Stegostoma tigrinum: one gene and its partner. The protein of the gene in region 2 interacts with the protein of the main gene of each other region in a biochemical or structural test. Links are inferred from orthologs where the notes say so. Each region holds a gene or a part of one and is shown on either strand. Other genes may lie near its edges.

Region 1 (10,198 bases), on a different chromosome or scaffold from region 2:
CAAATCACCTCATTGTTTAAGGCAAGTGCGCTGGGCAAGGGCAGAAATGGCATCATAAAAAATTGAAATGACTCAATTGTATTTGCCCTGCTCATTCCCTATATTCATTAATACCAAGAGTTCAAAAATCTATCTATTCCAGACTTGAATATGATGTGGAGATACCGTTGTTGGACTGGAGTGGACAAATTTAGCCTTGAATTTGACTGTAAGGGAATGTCTACAATCTACTTAGGGCAGAGGTTTCCAAAGATTAACAATCTTCTGCATGAAGTAACTTTTCCCTCAACTCAATCTTAGATGAATGACCCCTTCTACTGAGGCTGTATTCCCAGCCATGGAAACCAATATCTCAGAATCACCCTCAGCAAGCCACTTCAGATAAATCAGACCATTTCTCATGCTTCCAAACAGGAGGACAGACAAAAGTTACTTAGTGTCTCATCACAGGAAGCAGTCCTGTGGAGGCAGTTGAATACTGCCATCTATTCCAGTGTTTCTAGTGCTCCTTCTATCAGAACACCCAAGTCTCACTGAATAACATCTAAAAGATTCAAATCTTTTAAAAAGATTTTGCTTGTCTACCACAAAATTAATAATAGAATTCAAGTTTTCCTTCATTATACTCCAACTGTCACCTTGTTGCCCGCTCAGTTAACCTGTTTATATCACTTGTGCTGCCGCTTCGTACTCTCCTCATTTTCATCTAACTTTGTATCCTCAGCAAATTTAGATAAGCTACTCTTAATCCTGTTATTTAATTCATTAATATAGATTATAAAAGACCCAGCATTAATCCTTATAGCACTCTGAATTACAGCTTGTCATCCTTAATGTTTTATTTTTTCCTGGGATGGTATCACTGACGAGGCAAGCTTTTATTGCCCAAAATGTAAGTCAGAATGCACAAAATTGCTATTGGGCTGGAGTTACATGTAGACCAGGCCAGGTTTAAGGACAGCAGGTTTCCTTCTATGAAGTAGATGTAAAGATATGGCTAACAGTGAAACCTCAACAAAGCACGATGGGAAAAGAATTCAACAATACAAATCATTCTGCGGGTGTCTGGTGCTGAGCGTCATTCAACTTTTATTGTTGCAACAGTTGATAAATTAAGGACTAATGGAAGTACAATGGAGATGATGTGTCCTGCTTACACGACTCTTGGACTGATGATCTCAGAATCACGTGGATCTTGGGCAGTGGTACATCACTAAACATGGACTGGACTAAAGAGATCAAAAAGGGGGAAAAGCAGGAACAGGCTATTGAGTGAGATGATCAGCCATGGTTCATAATGAAGAGAGCAGCAGGGGCTTATAGGGCCAAATGGTGCTCTTGATCCTATTTTCGATGTTCCTGAAAGACTGGAAGAAAACAGGTAAAAGAAGAAACATCAGAGACATCGGTAGCGATGACCCAGGAACAACCATTGTGGAAGAAATACCCTGAGTTCAGAACTCAAAGGTGACCAAGCCCCATTGGAGCGAACTTCTGCAGTTCACTTCGCACGGTTAATAGCTAAGTCCAAGCCACAAGTCTTGCAATTTAGTCTAATTAGTGACAAGCTGGAATAATGAGTTACATGTAACATTATTAAACATTAATCGAATGCCTGTATATTGTTGGTGATTTGAGTAGTAGACTTTTGTTTGAGTGTCTCTTTGTCTGATATGTCAGCTGATACCTGAAAAGGCAATAGGATCAACAATTTAATATCTCTTCAATGAGTTCAAGTTTCATCATCGGCCACCACAGATCAACCTAAAAAGCATTCAGACACTCTAGTAAGTATTGTGCGAGCAGCCACTTGGGACGATATCAGAAGTGCATTTTGGGTACTATACAAAAGCAGTTTTGTTTCTTTTTTATTTTTGTGTTTAGTATTAAAGGGATAATACTTTATTGTGACTAAAGATCTTTGAATTTGCACTGTAGGTAGATGGCTTGGAACATTCTACTTTATCTCCATTAGCTGGGATCATAACACTGATCTCCTGTTGATATAATTGTAAATGCTGTCAAAATCTGTCTTTATATTCCCAACTAGTTTATTCCTAAGCTACTTTTTCTTCTATCAACTTATTTGCTGATTTTCTCTGGTTTCTGAAACAATCAATTAGAACAATCTTTTGCAATCTTAAAGGCTTCTTTTATTTATTACCATCCTCATTTCCCCAGTAAGTGGCAAGTGGATCTTTCTAGCCTTGTTTCTATTTTTGGTAGAAAGTATTTTTGTCAAAAATTTTAAATGATTTTATATAAAGATTTCCCACTAGTCATTTACTACCAAAGCTTTTAGTCCACCCAATCAACCCTAGTCAGCTCATCTTCTAAACTGGCCCTGTTTAATATCCTTATTTTGAGATATCATGCTAAATTTTAATATGAAAATTAAGTGTATGATGAGCACATTTTAACAGCGATAGTAAGAACAGCCAATGCTAGAGTCAGAGATAGGACAATGTAGAGCTGGACAAGCACAGCAGGTCGGGCAGGAAAGTTCACGTTTCGAGTCAGGACCTTTCTTCAGAAATGGGGGAAGAGGAAGGGAGCTCAGAAATAAATAGAGATGGGGGGGTGCTGGGAAGGTAGACGGGATATGATAGGTGAGATCAGGTAGGGGGTAGCAGGAGGAGCAGGTAGATGGGAGAGAAGATGGACAGATTGTGTCAGGTCAATAAGGCGGGTTGAAGGTGGGATGAGGCAGTGGGTGGGGAGACTTTGAAACTAGTAAAAGTCCAGATTTAGGCCATTCGGTTGTAGGCTCCCAAGGCAGAATATGAGGTGCGGGTCTTCCAGTTTCCGGGTGGTGTCACTGTGATACTGGAGGAGGTCCAAAATGGACATGTCATCTATGGAGTGGGAGTGGGAGCTGAAACTGAAAGGTGGTATCGTTTGTCGTGAGCAGAGCACAGGTGTTCTACAAAGTGGTCTCCGAGCCTCTGCTCGGTCTCACCAATGCAGAGGAAGCTGCAGCGGATGCAGTAGACCATGTTGGCGGATATGCAGGTGAGCCTCGATCTTATGTGAAAGTTTTCTTTGGTTCCTTGGATGGAGGTGAGGGAGTAGGTGTAGCACTTCCTACGTTTGCAGGGAAACGAGCTGGGGGTGGTGGACCTAGTTGGGAGTGTGGAGCAGATGAGGGAATCACGGACAGAGTGGTCCCTACGGAAGGCAGATAGGGGTGGTGAGGGAAATATATCCTTGGTTGTGGGGTCAGATTGCAGGTGGTGGAAGTGGCGGAGAATGACACGTTAAATCTGGAGGTTTAATGGGATGATACATGAGGACAAGGGGGATTCTGTCTTTGTTTTTGTTGCAGGGAGGGGATATGACAGCTGAGTTGCAGGAAACACAAAAGATGTATTCAACAGCATTTTCGACCACTTGGGGGTGGGGAGAAGAAGCGTTGCAGTCCTTGAAACAAGGGGATGTCTGGGATGTTTGGGAGTGGAACCTTGGGAGCAGACACAGCAGAGACAGAGAAATTGGGAGCAGGGGATTGCATTCTCGCAGGAAGGTGGGTGAGAGGAGGTGTAGTCTAAGTAGCTGTGGGAGTCGGTGGGCTTGAAATAGATATCAGTTTCGAGGTGGTCATAGGAAATGGAGACAGAGGTCCAGGTGAACAAGGGCAGCATGGTGGTTCAGGGGTGAGCACTGCAGCCTCACAGCGCCAGGGACCCAGGTTCAATTCCAGCGTCGGGCAACTGTCTGCGTGGAGTTTGCAGATACGGAGAGAATGTGCATCGGTTTCCTCCCAAAGCCCAAAGATGTGCAGGCTAGGTGAACTGTCCATGCTAAATTGCCTGTAGTGTTCAGGGATGTGTGGGTGGTAGGGGTAGTGGGGTAGTGGGGGGGTAGTGGGGGGGTAGTGGGGGGGTAGTGGGGGGTAGGGGGGGGATGGTCCAAGGGTCAGTGTGGACTTGTTGGGCCGAAGGGCCTGTTTCCACACTGAAGGGCTTCTATGATTGAACTTGAAGTCGGGTTGAAAGGTGTTTGTAAAGTTGATGAACTGTTCATGCTCCTTGTGGGAGCTCAGAGCAGTGCTGATACAGTCACTGATGTAGTGGAGGAAGAGGTGAGGGCTCGTGCCAGTGTAGCTGTGGAAGAGGGGCTCTCTCACGTATCTTACGAAGAGGCGGGCCTGGCTTGGGCCCATGCGGGTTCCCATGGCCATACCCTTAGTCTGTAGGAAGTGAGAAGAGTTGAAGGAGAAGTTGTTAGCGGTAAGGACGAGTTCAGTTAATCTTCTTAACAGTGGATCTCTCACTATGAGACCACTCATTAACCCCGCCTCAAAGCACAATCGTAGATTTACAAGTAACTATGCTCTCTTCCGTTCCACAACATATTCTTCCAGGAGGCTGTCATGAAAACATTCAACAAGCTCAGATCACTTTTGCGAATTTGATTTGTTGATTCCATTTGAAGATAAGGTTAGAATGAATTACTCACATATAGGCGAGACCAGATAAAGACAGATTTCCTTCCCTAAAGTCCTGTACATTCTCTCTCCCATTCCCCCAACCAGTCGCTCTCTCTTTCCTCTTCTTCTCTACCATCCAGTCCTCAGTCCTCAGTCCTCAGGCCCCGCGCTCCCTTGCCCCTTCCCCCCACCCGTTCCCAAACCGGACTCACCCGAAAGTGCCCTGCCCGATCTTCGCCAGCTTCTCGTACTTCCCGACCTCGTCGCAGAACTGGAAATCCAGCGCTTCATAATGTTTAATCATGTCGGCGCTGAGCCTGACACTCATCCCACCATCCGGGCACCTCGCCATCATCTACTTCCGGGGCGGCCGGCTGTGCGGCACGCTGTGATGTAGCCGACATCCGCTACAGACAGCGGCACCAATCGGCCGGGAGTGCAGCTGCAACCGTTCTGTCTCGACCCAGCCACAAAAGCAGCTGGTAGCAGTTCCAATAGGGAGCGGAGTTCACCCGCAGTGTCCTAGAAAACTCCTACTTCATTGTCTTCTCATGCATATTTTGAAATCAGCAAATATAAAGCTCAATTTTAGGGAGAATGACTCATTGTCATTTTTCTTACACTTTTTCATGTTTCTACAACCATTTGGTTCAGTTAATTCACAGAACATTGAGCTGCCAAGCCTTGTCCATCTCTCAGCCAAGTTTCAGAAGTAGCTTTGATATCCCTGTCTCATGTTCTTAAATATGCCCTGAGTTCATCAGCCTTACCCATAAGATGCCTTTCAATGAAATAAGTGCAATTTAGTTTTTCAGGGTTACTACATACTATGATTCTCTCTTTTCTAATTGACATGGTCTCTTCGCATTCAGAACCTTCGCTGTCAATCTTTCTATTTACGCTGCTATTTAGAATTCCTCCACTCCCTTAAGTCTCCCTTAATGGAATGAGCAAATCTCCCTGTTAAGATATTGGTCACTGTCCAGTTCAGGTTAGACTCATTCTTTTTCAACAGGTCTTTTCTATCCTAAATGACATTCCAATTGTCCAAAAACCTGAATCCCTGGACAATACACCAGCTTTTCAGTTATTGATTTATTGCCTTAGCCTTTTGTTGCTTCGCTTGTTTAAGTTTGGCATTGAGAGTAAACCAGAAATTGCTATTTTTAAGGTTCTTTTTTTAAAATCTTCTACCTAACCTCTTAAATTCACTCTGTACTGCTTTAATCTTGTCTCTAAAAATGTCATTCCTACCAATGTGTACAATAATTTATGGCTTCTCAATCTCACCTTTAATAGGCTTGAAATGTTTGGAGTTGTTCTTAATCCTAGCACAAGGAAAGCAACAAACCATCCTATAGTTATGCTCACTGCCACAGAATCTCCTGTCTATGTCCCTGACAGCAGAGTCCTCTATTACAATAATCCTATTAAATCTTGTAAAGCGTTGCCTAACATAAGGATTATTCCAAGTCCCCAACAACTTACTGCCCCTTCCATCTTCCTTGGTGAGACTATCCCCTTTTACAGTTCCAAAAGCTAAATATCTATTTGATAGAGGAATAGTCACCAGAGACTTTTAAACTACCTTACCTTTCCCAAGTCACCCATCTATCTGACAGATCCTGCCATGTAAAAGCCTTTCTAACTCTGCCAGCCACCTCACTCTGTACCTTACATAAGGCCTTAATAACACTATGCCTAAAAGAATTTTCAGAAACACCTTATACTGAAAATAAAACATCTTTCATTACCTCCAGAAAATAATGTTAAAATGAAAAAAAACAAACAGATAAAACTTAAATGAAATCAACCATTTAGCTGATTAACTGAATAAAAAAAACTCCTCTTCAATAAATTGCTCAAAGGAAAAGAAAAGTCTTCTCTAGAGCCAACCATATGTAGGACTCACCAAAACAAAAACACAACTCCTTGCTTTTAAAAAAATCTGCTTGGTTTTTCAAGAAAAGACTTCTGCAATGTAAAAGAAAACACCCGCTAAAACACATATAGTCTTTTTTAAATTTCTGAATTTAGAATTAAAAATACCTCAGCTGTTCACTGTAGAAAAGCTTGTTTAAAAACAGTGCATTTGAAAAGAAAATCACAATTTTATTTGTTTGTTTTTTGGCTTTTTTGTACTCTAATAAAACAGAATGAATAAAACATCTTATACTAGTAAAATATCATGACTGTAATAACTGTAAGAAAAACTATAATAAATCTTTGATTATGTCTGCAATCCCAGGAGCATCTGCAAGATCCACACTGCCTCCCCTGAACTTCGAAAGGAAGTGGTAAATGTGTGTACAGTTACAACATTTAAAGGTCACTCAGGTAAGTACGTGAATAAGAAATACTTGGAGGGAGATGGGCCAAGCATTGGCAGATGGGACTAGTTTAGTTGGGGATTATGGTTGGACTGAAGAATCTATTCCTGTGCTGTATGACTCTATGACTACAGTTAGATAATGGGACATCTTTGGAATTTCCTGAATTAATTCCCATTTTGAGCTATTTTGGATCTGAACCAACACTAACATATCCCCAAACTCAACTTTTTTTTACTCAGAAATGTTAATATAAGGAAATATTTCAAGGCATTTCAATGCCTGAATTTTACCTCATGTTCAAGATCTTTCTATTCCTGATATATATTACTCACTCAGGTTTTGGTGTGTGGAACACAATTTCAACATTTGTGGACAACTCAGTATTTGGAAATATTGTGAATTGTGAGGAGGATAGCACTCAACTCCAGAAGCACACAACCAGGTCGGTGTGGGGAATGAGTAGATATATCACAGGTGTAATTTGATGCAAAGAAGTGCAATGTGATGTATTTTGGTAGAAAAGACAAGAGCAGGCAACATAAAATAAAGAATAGAATTGAGTATGACTGAAGGAACTAAGAGACCAGTGACATATGTGCACAAGTTGTTGAGGGTGTTGAAGCAGTTTGAGAAAGGTGATCAAAATGGTGATGAGCATTTATGAAACACTAGCTTTTGGCCTCAGTTGGAATAGCAGTCTATTTGTTTACACAAACCTTCAGGGAGGATGTGACAATCTTTTTGGAGCTGCTGAATTAGTCACATTCCTCTATACCTTCCTCTTTAAGTTTTAACACTTGAAAGACTTAAGAGATGATGCAAAAAAAAACTCCTGAAAATGGTTCCAGGGATGAGGAACTTTGGTTACGTGGATAAAGTGAAGGGGCCAAGTTTTTCTCCTTAGAGAAGAGAAGATTGAGAAATATGGTAGAAATGTTTAAAATCTCGAGATGTCAGGGCAGAATCAATTAAGTGTAACTGTTCCCATTAGGGTCCAGAAACAGGAAAAAAAAAGCTTTCAGGAGATTGGCAAAAGAAGCAATGAGATGTAAGGAAAATCTTTTCCCCACACAGTGAATGGTTAGGATCTAGAATTGCGCTTGAGACTGTGCTGAAGACATGATTTAATCTGCCTTTCAAAAGATAATTGGATCATTATATGAAAAATGAGTAAAAAAATGTATACCAAATTGTAGAGCAAAAGTTGTCATAGGTGGGATTATTGACACTCTATGATCTGCTCTTGCAGATAGACTGCTCAGACACAACAAGCCAAATGGCCTCTTTGTGTATCATAAACATCCCATGATTTGATCGAATGAGGATAAATTTTCATAAACAGTGGAGTGGTGAGGTTATCATGTTATGGATGAATCATGTCCCTCAGTGGCCCCAAGTTACAGAAGGTATAAGGTAAATCAATAGACAATCAAAACATGTAATCAAATTCCATGCTCAACCAAGCATGAATTGGGTCTAACAACGGCAAGAAAAGTCATAGCAGTCCAATCTTGACCCATTTTACCCTGGCTCATCATTTCTTTCCACACACCTCTGATCTCCCTTTCAATCTGCCCATCAAAGACAAGGAATATGACCAAGATGTGAAACCAGAAATTGAGGAGCTGCCCCTTAAGTTTACAGGCCAGGCTTCTTTTAAGTATCATTCATGTTGGCACTTTGCAGATAAGAAAAACAGTCCTGATCCTGAAATAGGGCATGGGGAGAGTTTATATGTCAGTGAAGAGGTTCAAGAAAGCATTTAAGGCCTTTCTGGCAAGCAGCATAATGCACCCAGGATCCAGGCACTAGGGAGAGTCTATCAGGGCTTTCTACTAGGTCCACTTGCCCCCTATTGGACGGCAAGATGATCAATCAGTACAGAAGATGAAAACAATCACTGTTTCTGCACCTTAGTGATTACCACATTCACCCTACACATGAAATGTCCCTGGTACAAAACTGAACAGGAATGTTCCGGAGTCTGGTGGTACAGAAGGTCAGTCCAACCTGCTGTAGCGGTACTTCCTAACATGTCCAACATATCTGTTAAAAATAATTTAGAAGATGACAGTAAAGAAATGGATCAATAGCATACAGGGAATTCCATAGGGTAGAAAGGAAAATAAGGAATGATTCTTACTTTGCAGCTGTCTCTGATAAATGTGCAGATTCAGATCCAATCCACAAAGGACTATGAAGTAATTAAAGGGACATAGACCAAACCTGCTGCTGGTGATATTTCACCTGGATATTATTAAACCAACCCTGAGGTTATGACCATAACTTAGTGACTACTGTTGGATGTGCAAGTCAAAGAATTTCAAGGAAAGACAGTGCAACATTATAACAACACCTCTATACTGAGGTACACTTTGAAACATTTCCCATGCACGATGAAAAGAAATGCAAAGGTATTGCACTGGATTTTCATCCGAGACTGCGTGCTAACATTCCAGCGTGGGGTTTTACACCACCACCTTTGGACATGGGTTCAATGGAAGCTTTGTTAATGGGATCCTGGTCAAGAGACCTATTCACTGACTCACTTTAAGGAAAAAAAATCCTGCCATTCTTATTCCTTTTTACTACCTGTGCTGAATTTGCAATTACTCTTAAACAACCTTCTGAAGTGATTTTATAAACCTTTCAGCTGGACCAAGCTCAGGGCAGCCAGGGATACAAGCAATAAATAATGCTGCCAACATAAAATATACTTAGAAACAAGGTTAATACTCCAGGCAAGGCTTCTTTTAAGCATCATTCACATTGACAAAGATGCAAAACTCTATTCGTCATAATTTTTAGAGGGTTTGCTGACAAGAAATGTAACAGTGTGTGGGGCTGTTATTTCCATAAATATACTCATTGGGAAATGTGGAACTGGCTTTGCAGATGCTCCCAGAGTAAACAAAGTGCTGTACAATCAATTGTAGTCAATTATTCAGGGAATTAGTGACTCATTCTACAAACATTCTAGCTTCAAGACTCTTTAATGGTTCTGCACTGTTTTTTTTGATGTACCTCCCTCTCTGTGACTGACAAATTAGTAACATGAAAATTATGACTGAGATAAGATACTGTCTATAATCTTAAATATGTGTTTACTAGATAACAACGTTACTATATGTTGACAGAAAATAATCCCTCATCAAAGACATTAAAAACTCAACAACTCAGTAGCCTTTCACTTTTATCTGTAGCTATAACTCAGAAGCAATGATAACCATTTTTTGCTCTCAGCTATTCAACAGTTTCTTGCTTCATCGGAGCTTCAGTGCCTGACACCGAATTCCCGGCAAATTTCTTCAGACTTGAATATGATAAGAAAACCTTCAAATGACTTTGTGAAGGGAGTATAACTTTGTTGTCAAATCTCGTGAGAAGTATTTGAATGAAAGGCGGCTAAGGTGATAACGTGTCACTACATGTATTA
Region 2 (11,023 bases):
TTTACTTTTCGAAATGTGAAATGTCTTTCCAATCGATCCTTGATTAAAAGAGTTCATGCTGCTTCGAGCTCTCAGTAATTATTGTGAAAGGAAAAATGTCTTCTTTCCATCAGCTCACATTGTATTGAAAGCTTAATCCTGGAGGGCAGTGCAGCTAATTAATCTAGAGCATATAGAATATTTTATTTCAAATGCTATAAATAACTTCACTTGCTGCATATTTTAAATGCATTGACAGAAAGAAAAGTAACTTCCATTTGTAAAGGGTCTTTCATGAATTTGGAATGTCTCAAAGCACTTCACGATCAACAACAGTGTACAATGGCCTGCCCATATTATCGCTAGACTATTATCCAGAAACCCAGCCAATATTCTGGGGATCTGGGTTTGAATGCTACCAGGGCAGATGGTGAAAATTGAATCCTATAAAGATAATGGTTTGGAATTAAGAATGTACTGATCACCACAAAATCAAAGCCAGTTGTCGGAAAGACGCATCTGGTTCGCTCATGACCATCAGGGAAGGAAATCTGCCATCCTCACCTGGTCAGGCCTATATGTGACTCCAGACCCACAGCAATGTGGCTAATTCTCACTTGCTTCTGAAATGGCCAAGCAAGCCACACAGTTGTACTGGTTGCTACTAAGTATCAAAGAAGTGAAACGAGATGTATCACCTAGCAAAGAACTAGCCAGCGGACAATGGCAGAAACAGCCCTGTCAACCCTGCAAATTCATCCTCACTAACATCTGTGGTTAGTGCCAAAATTGGGAGAACTGTCGCACAGACTAGTTAAGCAACAGCTTGACATAGTCATACTGACAGAATCACATCTGAGAGACAATGTCTCAAACACAACCATCGCAATCCCTGGATATGTTCTGTCCTACTGGAAGGACAGACCTAGCAGAGGTGGTGGTACAGCGGTATACAGTCAGGAGAGAGTTGCTGTAGGAGTCCTCGACATTGACTCCAGACTAAATTAAGTCTCATGGCTTCGAGTGAAACATGGGCAAGAAAACCTCCTCCTGATTACCACATACTGCCCTCCCTCAGCTGATGAATCAGTACTCTTCCATGTTGAACAATACCTGGAGGAAGCACTGAGGATGGCAAGGGCACCAAATGTACACTGGGTGGGGGATTTCAATCAAGAGTGGTTCAGCAGCAATACTACAGATTGAGCTGTTGGGTCCTAAAGGGCATAGATGCTAGACTAGGTCTACTGCAGGTGGTGAGGGAACTGACAAGAGGGAAAAACATAATTGACCTCACCTTTATTAATCTGCCAGCTGCAATTGTATCTGTCCATACAGTATTGGTATGAGTGACCATCACACAGTCCTTATGGAAACAAAGTCCCGCCTTCACATTGAGAATAACTTTCATTGTGTTATGTGGCAATATCACCGTGCTAAAACGGATAGACTTTACCCAAACCTAGCAACTCAAGACTGGGTGCCCATGAGGCACTGTGGGCCATCAACAGCAGCAGAATTGCAATCCAGCACAATGTGTATCCTTATGGCCTGGCATATCTCCCACTCAACCATTACCATCAAGCCAGGGAATGAATGCTGGTTCAATGGACGGTGCAGGAGGGCATGCCAGGAGCAGCACCAGGCGTACTGAATGATGAGGTATCAACCTGGTGAAGCCACCAAACAGGACTACTTGCATGCCAAACAGCGAAAAGAGCAAGTGATAGACAGAGCTGAATGATCCCACAAACAATTGATCAGATCTAAGCTCTGCAGTCCTGCCACATCCAGTTGTGAATGGTGGTGGACAATTAAACAACTCACTGGAGGAGGAGACTCCACATATATCCCCATCCTCAATGATGGAAGAGCTCAGCACTTCAGTGCAAAAGATAAGGCTGAAACTTTTGCAGCAATCTTCAGCCAGAAGTGCCGAGTGGATGATTCATCTCGGGTTCCTCCAGTGGTCCCCAGCATTACAGATACCAGTCTTCAGCCAATTCAATTCACTTCATGTGATGTCACGAAACGGTTGGGGACACTGGGTACTGCAGAGGCTATGGGCCCTGACAACATTCCAGCAATAGTACTGAAGACTTATGCTCCAGAACCTATTGCTCCCCAGGCCAAGCTGTTCCAGTACAGTTACAACACTGGTATCTATCCAGCAATTTGGAAAATTCACCAAGAATGTCCTGTACACAAAAAGCAGGATAAATCCAATCCAGCAAATTAGTCTGCTCTTAATCACCAATGAAGTGATGGAAGGTGTCATCAACACTGCTACAGAGTAGGACTGACTCAGCACCTGTTTAGTGACACCCAGTTTGGGTTCCACCAGGGCCACTCAGCTCCTGAACTCATTACAGCCTTCATTCAAACATGGTCAATAGAGTTGAATTCCAGAGTTGAGGTGAGAGTGACAGCCCTTGACATCATGGCTGCAATTGGCCAAATGTGGTATGAAGGAGCGAAACTGGAATCACTGGGTATTAGGGGGGCAAAATTTCTGGTATTTGGAGTCATCCCTGACACATAGGAAGATGGACATGGTGTTTGGAGGTTAATCATCTCAGCTCCAGGGCATTTCTGCAGGAGTTCCTCAGGGTAGTGTCCTTGGCCCAACCATCTTCAGCTGCTTCATCAAAGACATTCCCTCCATCGTAAGGCCAGAAGTGGAATCTTTGCTGATGATTGCTCAAAATTCAGTACCATTTGCAAACCCTCAGATACTGAAGCAGTCCATGTTCACATGCAACAAGCTCTGGACAATATCCAGGTTTGGGCTGATGAGTGGCAAATGACGTTCACGCCACACAAATACCAAGCTATGACCACTACCAATAAGAGACAATCTAACCAGCACCCCTTGACATTCATTCATGTTACCATCACTGAACCCCTCACTATCAACATCCTGGGGTTACCATTGACCAGAGACTCCACTGGACTCACCACATTAACAGAGTGGCTACAAGAGCAGCTCAGAGGCTGGGAAAACTGCGGAAAGTAACTCACCTCCTGACTCCTCAAAGCCTGTCCACCATCCACAAGGCACAAGTCAGGAGTGTGTTGGAATGCTCCCCCCCACTTGCCTGTGAGTGCATCCCCAATGACACACAAGAAGCTTGACACTATCCAGAACAGAGCAGCCTGCTTCATTGGCACTATATCCAGAAGCATCCACTCCCTCCACCACCGAAGCTCAGTTGCAGCAGTGTGTACTACCTACAAGATGCATGGCAGAAATTCACCAAAGACCCTCAGACAGCACATTCCAAACGCACAACCACTTCCACCTAGCAGGACAAGGGCAGCAGACATATGGGAACATCATCACCTTCAAGTTCCCCTCCAAGACACTCACCATCCTGACTTGGAAATATATCACTGTTCCTTCACTGTCACTGGTTCAAAATCCTGGAATTCCCTCCCTAATGGCATTATGGGTCAACCTACAGCAAGTGAACTACAGCAGTTCAGGAAGGCCGCTCAACACCACCTTCTCAAAGGCATCGAGGAATGGGCAAGAAATGCTGGCCAGCCAGTGACACCCACATCCCACGAAAAAAGAATCCACTATTGAAATGTAGGAAATACAGCAATTAAAATGCACTTGGAAAACTCTTCCAAGCAGCAAAGAGACTGACCAGATTGTCTATTTTAGTGGTATCAGAAGAAATAATAGGCAAAACACCAAAGGAACTCTCCTGTTTTTCCTAAAAATAATGCAATGGGATCTATTTTACATTAACCAGAAAGAACAAACAGGAATTATTAGCAGCCAAAATTCTCTTCTGCATCAAGGTTATCTTGAACTCAATTTTTTTACTGACTGCTGCAAATTTGATTTGCAACAAACCCCAGACATTTTTCAATACCTGCAATCAATTTTGGAGTTTAAATTGAAGAAGTAACTTCATATTCAATAACATTCACCGAACAATCTTTGGGAACTAGTAATTGTCGTCTACTGAAACAAGCTTAAACCCAAAAAGACTGAAACAAAGCAAAAAAAAATTGTAAGTTCACAGGAGACCTACCTGTAAAGATGACCAGATCATTAGCTTGGAGGCAGATAATCCCCTTCACAAGAGCACAGGCCTGAAAGAACATAACTTTTTACAGATGCTCTTGATTTACATCAGCAAGGAAATGAAGAATGAGTGCTTCTAAGAACCTGAGACATTAGACTGAAATTGAATAAATTAATGAAATTAGGGCAAATGCATGGGCCAGAAGGTACATGTCCCACCCTCTCCAGACGACCAGTTTCAAAATATCTAAAAAAAGATCAGGTCAGAACTGAGAGGTGATACTTAGCAGGGAAACAGCGAAAAGGCTGCAGTCATTTTGTCTTGATTATAGTCTAAGGTGTTTAAAGGTTTTATGGAGAAGCTGTAGAACAATGTTTCTCGTGTAGAAGAAATTAAAACTATAGCTAGAAATATGCAATAGTAACTAATAAACCTTTTTGTTGACTTTCTTTAGCTAGAATTAGGGATGTGGAACTCACTACAATATGGAATAGTTGAAATGAATAGCACAGATACATTTAAGTGGAAGGTGGATGAATACATGAGGGGTAAACAAATAGAATGATATACTGACAGGGTGAAATGAAGAACAGTGGAAAGAAGCTTTATGAGGGTACTACACCAGCACAGACTAGTCGGGCAGAACGCCCTGTTTCTACGTTATACATTCTGTATAATTACTTGAAAATTTTACCACATCTAATGTTACCAGTACCTTATTTTTACAGTTAGGTTGGAAAAGTAAATGGCCTGATTTATGTGCAAATCTGTAACCCATTCTAAAGTGTAAATAGGCGTGGAGCTGAAGGGTCTAGGCCCGAAACATCAGCTTTCCTGCTCCGAAGATGCTGCTTGGCCTGCTGTGTTCATCCAGCTCCACGCCTTGTTATCTCGGATTCTCCAGAATCTGCAGTTCCCATTATCTCTAAAGTGTAGGTGCTCTACTCTTCAATACAACTTTACTGCCTGTATCTCATGCTGCAACTTATTCTGCACTTACAAAACATGAATCATGAATAACTCAACACCCATGTGTCACACAATTGCAATAAAAACTGAGAAAGGTTTGTAGTTTGACCATTTGAACATAGTTTGGCATACTTCAGAATTCCACAGCACAGAAACTGACCGTTCACCTAATTGATCTATGCCAGTCTTCACAAGCCTCTTCTCTTCCCTATTTTGTTTCATACAAGCAGTATATCATTCTACTCTTTTCTCCCATGAATCTATCTAGCTTTCTCACTTGGCTGTTATTGGATGCCCATTTTGTGCTGTGACCAAAGTCTTTCTCTAAACATTTCTGTCATTACTCTATTATATTTTATCCATCAGCCCCGAACCATAAGTGAGGAGGCTATGGTGTAAAAGATGAATAACTATATGTTTGAAAATAAAAAAACTTAATAACATGCAAAGATTACTTGAGATGAATTCAACAGAACATTTGCGAAATGGTGCAATTTAAGTGTGTAAATTTAATACAGTTAAATTTGCGATACCTGGCATGCATCAGGAATTGATGATACCACTAAATCAAAAATGCCAAAAAAACAGAAGGAGGGCTGACTTTAATATCATTCAACCATTTGAGTCCTTTTGATAGGTAATGAGCTTGAAACCATATGCAAGTTCTGACATGCCAAAAGGATCATTTCAGTGAACCCTGTGGACAAAACCTATTGAACTGCCTTACACTGTTTCCCTTCACCAATTGCAGCCAATTTTTTTGGTGTCTGCCTGTGACTGTCTATATGTGTATATAGGGTAAGTTTACTGAGAGTTAGGGTTTTAACTGGTAGAGTTACATGTCAACAGCTCATAGTTGTTCTCGATAAACTCTACTTATTTATAACAAATAGTTATGTTAAATACATAAGTATTCTGTTAAATACAGAAACCTGTCTGAGTTTTCTGTCAACTGGGTCCAAAACACAAGTAAATTGGTGTATTTTGTCAACTTTTATAAAATGTATAAGTTTGGCGATGCCTCTGGGAATAGCGGTGCTTGAGCGTGCTGCCCTAGTGAGGTGTAACAGGGATATCCAGCATCCCTGCGTGATATTCCAAGTTACTCTGGGCCAAGTACAGGAGCATGTCTTTTGCTTGGAGTTGAGCTAGGTGTCAGGTCTCTGAGGTGCCTGAGATGCAGCTTCCTTTGAATTGCAGCAGTGATGTGTTAGTAATGTGCTCACAAGATGGTGATGCTGTATGTAGTATAGGCAGATAACCCAATGAGGTGGAACTCTCTGAGCTGGTGGAGGGTGCATCTGCTGCGGTTTCAGAGCAATCATGTCAGAAATGGTACTGATGGGGAGAGGCTACGCATCTCTTTTTCTTGGCGGTGTGTGTTAACTACTCATACCTGTAGAAGAGAAAGAATAAGTTGGTGAACATGCACAGTCCTTATATAGATGAACATGTGGAACGACACAACTGAGAAGTGCAGTCTATAATCTTCCTTACTGACTTCTCCTGCCATTCTGATCTTTCTATTGACTCAGGACTGGTCACTATCCGCATCTATCACTCTGCTGCCTGGACCATATAAGGGAAGAAAACTCAGCAACTCTGCACTGGTCTTAGCCTTTTCGGCCTCTTGTCCTGCAAGCAGAGAAGGAGAAGGATTGTGTGTCCTTGGTACTGGTGCAGGAGCACTTTATGACCATGTGTCCCGAAAGTAGGCTTCCCACAAGTATTTAGAAAGTGCAATGCCTGGGAAACAGAATACTCAGAGCATAAGGTGTGAGCCCTTCAAAGCAGATCATGGGTAAGAGACTGAGGCTTGCAGGCCAGTGGCTGAGTTAGACTAAGTGATGGCCCTAAGAGATTGATCTTGCAATGAGGAGCACAGGAGACCATTCATGAATGCTGAATGATTTATTTATTGCCACCAGCATTACAGTGAATAATACAGTAAAATTATACAGTGAAAAGCTTCAAAAGTCGCCACAATCCAGCGCCATTTTGAATAGTTTGAGAATGAAAAGGATAAAAGATATGACTGAAAGAGAATCCTGAGCCCTGAGCCGGATCACCAACAATACCTGTGCCACGCTGCCACCTACGCTGGGCCCACCAACATAGGAGTCGCTGCCCTTCCTGTGGCACACTGGCACTGACCCAAGCGCCTGAGTCTGATGGGAGCTGCCAATACTAGAGGACAGCACTTATCTGGGTTCTCTGGATGGCATTGAGCCGAAACCTGATGAGGCTTTCATAAACCTTGGAGCTGATTTGTTCCTGCTATATGACCATGAGTGAGTAGGGAAGGGAGTAGCTGACGCAGGCTCTCTTGACTCTGCAGCTTGGCGGAGATTGAAGGGATGCCTCAGGTGGCTTTTTATGTATACCAGCAGAACCTTCACACCTGGGAGATCCTGGCAGGATCAAGAACCTCTCCCCACCCACCCCATATCACTTACTGTTGACGTCACACTATGACTCACTTCCTTATAAAATGAGCTGAAAAAGGTACAGTCGTGCAAGAAAATTTGCCCTAGGTCATGACAGAATTGATGCTCTCTAAGATGCCTCATGTCCTTCTTTAACTTCAATATGGAAAATCTTGGCTGTGGTGTTTGAAATCAAAAACAGGGTTGAATGAGGTCTGCGACAGCAAGTAAGCACATATAATAGCATTAGCTTTTCACTGTGCTGCTATTATACTTCACAATGGCCGGGTGAAGCTTGTTTTGTTGTCATGACAACACTAAGGTACCAGTTGTCATCAGTACAGTTTCTTGTTTGGCGAATTGCTCCTGGTCATTTAGGGGAACATCAGAGTTTCTGATTGGTGGAGCATCCTGGTTTGTACAGATAACATTTGGAAAATACAAAATTAACTGTATGTATTGAAAATAAACCTTATCCAATTTATGTAATGTTTAATTTACTTGAAATTTCTCACACCTCTATTTTCCCAACAATAATTTGAAACTTACAGCTACAGTCGGCAACTTTTTCAGTTTCTTCATGAGTTTTCATAATTAAGTACGTATCACAATTCTGATGTCCAAGGTACTTCGACCCGTATGAAGGTATTGAGGTGGGTACGTAATATTTCCCTTTCATACGTTAGGCTCAACTGCCAACAACAAATGACGACTGGGAAAACAAAACAAAAACAACTGGTAACAAACAGTGTCAACTTTTGTCAACTGGTCACAGTTTTCAATTAGCAGTGGATTAAACTGCTGTGATCAAACTGTGCAACTCTTTGTCTCAAGTCAAGACTTCTGTAGCTCAAAGAGTCACTGTTCTACATCTTGAGAGCCAACCAATTAACTCTGTAAGCTGTAGGAAAAATACCCCATCAGATGAATGAACTATTTTACTGTTATCAGTGATGTGTGTCTTTGCATTGTGACAGAAGATCTTAATTATTGTTTTGTCATCATTCATGTGATTCAGTAGATTATGACATACCTCAAAATGCATTAAATAATCCTTTGTGAGGTCAGTTGGAAGGAATATAAGATTCTACCTCAGAAGTTATGGATTGGAACTTGGGTCTATAGGACAATGATAATTTTTTTTTGATTGCTTTTAAAAAGGGACATAAATAATGTTGCAAAACACAAGACTGCTGGGCTCAGTCCCCATTTACTGCCATACGATTGGGGTTTGCCTAATGAAGAGAAATTGAGCAGATTGAACCGACTCTCTGATGTTTAGAAAAACAAGATGCGTTCTAGTTGTGGTATTTAAGATGCTGAAGGGGATTAACAAAGTAAAAGTAGAAAAGATGTTTCCTCATGTGAAGCGGTCTAAAATGAGAGTTCATAGCTTCATGATAAAGTGTAGAAACAGAAATGAAGAGAAATTGCTTCTCTCAAAGGGTCATAAATCTGTGGAACTCACTAATCCCAGAGTGTGATGGATGCTGTGTCAATGAGTAAATTTTTTTTCTATTCAGTTTTGGAATGGGGGTATCACTGACTGGCCAGCATTTCTTGCTCTTCCCTAGTTGCCCTTGAGAAGGTGGTGGTGAGTTGCCTTCTTGAACTGCTGCAGTTCACCTGCTGTAATTTGACCCACAATGCCATTAGGGAGGAAATTCCAGGATTTTGAACCAGTGACAGTGAAGGAACAGCGATATATTTCCAAGTCAGGATGGTGAGCGTCTTGGAGGGGAACTTGAAGGTGATGGTGTTCCCATATATCTGCTGCCCTTGTCCTTCTAGGTGGAAGTGGTTGTGGGTTTAGAAGGCGATATCTGAGGATTTTTGGTGAGTTTCTGCCATGTATCTTTTAGATAGTACACACTGCTGCTACTAAGCATCAGTGGTAGAGGGAGTGGCTGCTTCTGGATATAGTGCCAATGAAGCAGGATGCTTTGTCCTAGATAGTGTCACGCTTCTTGTGTGTTGTTGGGGATGCACTCATCCAGGTAAGTTGGGGGGGTGGGTGGTGTGGTGGTGGGGGGGCAGTATTCCATCACACTCCTGACTTGTGCCTTGTGGATGGTGGACAGTATTTGAGGAGTCAGGAGGTGAGTTACTGGCTGCAGAAATACTAGCTTCTGACTTGCTCTTGAAGTCTCTGTGTTAATGTCGTGAGTCCAGTTGGGTTTCTGGTCAATGGTAACTCGCAGAATGTTGATAGTGAGGGATTCAGTGATGGTAACATCATTGAATGTCAAGGGGTGCTGGTTATTTGTCTCTTGTTGGTGATGGTCATAGCCTGGCATTTGTGTGGCACAAATGTCACTTGCCGCTCATCAGCCCAAACCTAGATATTGTCCAGATCTAGTTGCATTTGAACACTGACTGCTTCAGTATCTTAGGAGTTGCGAATGATGCTGAACATTGTGCAATCATGGGTGAACATCCCCACTTCTGACTTTACGATGGTGGGAAGGTCATTGATGAAACAGCTGAAGATGGTTGGGCCCAGGACATTACCCTGAGGAACTCCTGCAGAGACGTCCTGGAACTGAGATGATTAGCCTCCAACAACCACGACCATCTTCATGTGTCAGGTATGACTCCAACCACCAGACTGTTAGCTCCCTGATACCCGTTGATTCCATTCTTGCTACGGCTCCTTAACACCACTCTCGGTCGAATGCAGCCTTGATGTACAGGGCTGTCACTCTCAATTTGCATCTGGAATTCAGCGCATTTGTCCATGTTTGAACCAAGTCTGTAATGAGGTCAGGAGCTGAGTGGTCCTGGCAGAACCCAAACTGGGCGTCACTGAGCAGGTTATTTATATGCAGGTGCTGCTTGATAGCACTGTTGATGACACCTTCCACCACTTTACTGATGATTGAGAAAAGCCTGATGGGGCGATAATTGGCTGGGTTGGATGAATCCTTCTTTTGTGCAGGACATTCTTGGTGAATTTTCCAAATTACCGGATAGATACCAATGTTGTAACTTTACTGGAACAGCTTGGCCTGGGGAGCAACAGGTTCTGGAGCACAGGTCTTCAGTACTATTGCTGGAATGTTGTCAGAGTTTGTAGCCTTTGCAGTATCCAGAGTCTCCAACCATTTCTTGAGGTCACATGAAGTGAATTGAATTGGCTGAAGACTGGTATCTGTAATGTTGGGGACCACTGGAGGAGCCTGAGATGGATCATCTACTCAGCACTTCTGGCTGAAGATTGCTGCAAAAACTTCAGCCTTATCTTTTGCACTGATGTGCTGGGCTCTTCCATCATTGAGGATGGGGATATTTGTGGAGTCTCCTCCTCCAGGGAGTTGTTTAATTGTCCCCCACCATTCACAACTGGATGTGGCAGGACTGCAGAGCTTATATCTGATCCGTTGGTTGCGGGCTTGCTTAGCTCCGTCTATCACTTGCTCTTTTCGCTGTTTGGCAAGCAAGTAGTCCTGTTTAGTGGCTTCACCAGGTTGATACCTCATCATTCAGTATGTCTGGTGCTGCTCCTGGCATGCCCTCCTGCACTCTCCATTGAACCAGGTTTCATACCCTGGCTTGATGATAATGGTTGAGTGGGAGATATGCCAGGTCATGAGGTTACAGATTGTTTTG

Evidence for each region.
Region 1: of the proteins of myelin basic protein (region 2) and cdk9, one has a biochemical effect on the other in vitro, tested with the Homo sapiens proteins (2 studies listed by BioGRID). The link is inferred for Stegostoma tigrinum from reciprocal best matches to the Homo sapiens genes MBP and CDK9.

Annotation. Positions count from the first base shown.
Region 1 is NC_081382.1:34,257,597-34,267,794, forward strand, and holds the start of cdk9 (cyclin-dependent kinase 9), read right to left. Parts: upstream 4,801-10,198; 5' UTR 4,785-4,800; coding exon 4,642-4,784; intron 1,788-4,641; exon of another isoform or gene 1,669-1,787; intron 1-1,668. UniProt on the Homo sapiens protein: Protein kinase involved in the regulation of transcription.
Region 2 is NC_081358.1:41,217,724-41,228,746, forward strand, and holds the start of myelin basic protein, read right to left. Parts: upstream 4,062-11,023; 5' UTR 4,047-4,061; coding exon 4,026-4,046; intron 1-4,025. UniProt on the Homo sapiens protein: The classic group of MBP isoforms (isoform 4-isoform 14) are with PLP the most abundant protein components of the myelin membrane in the CNS. They have a role in both its formation and stabilization.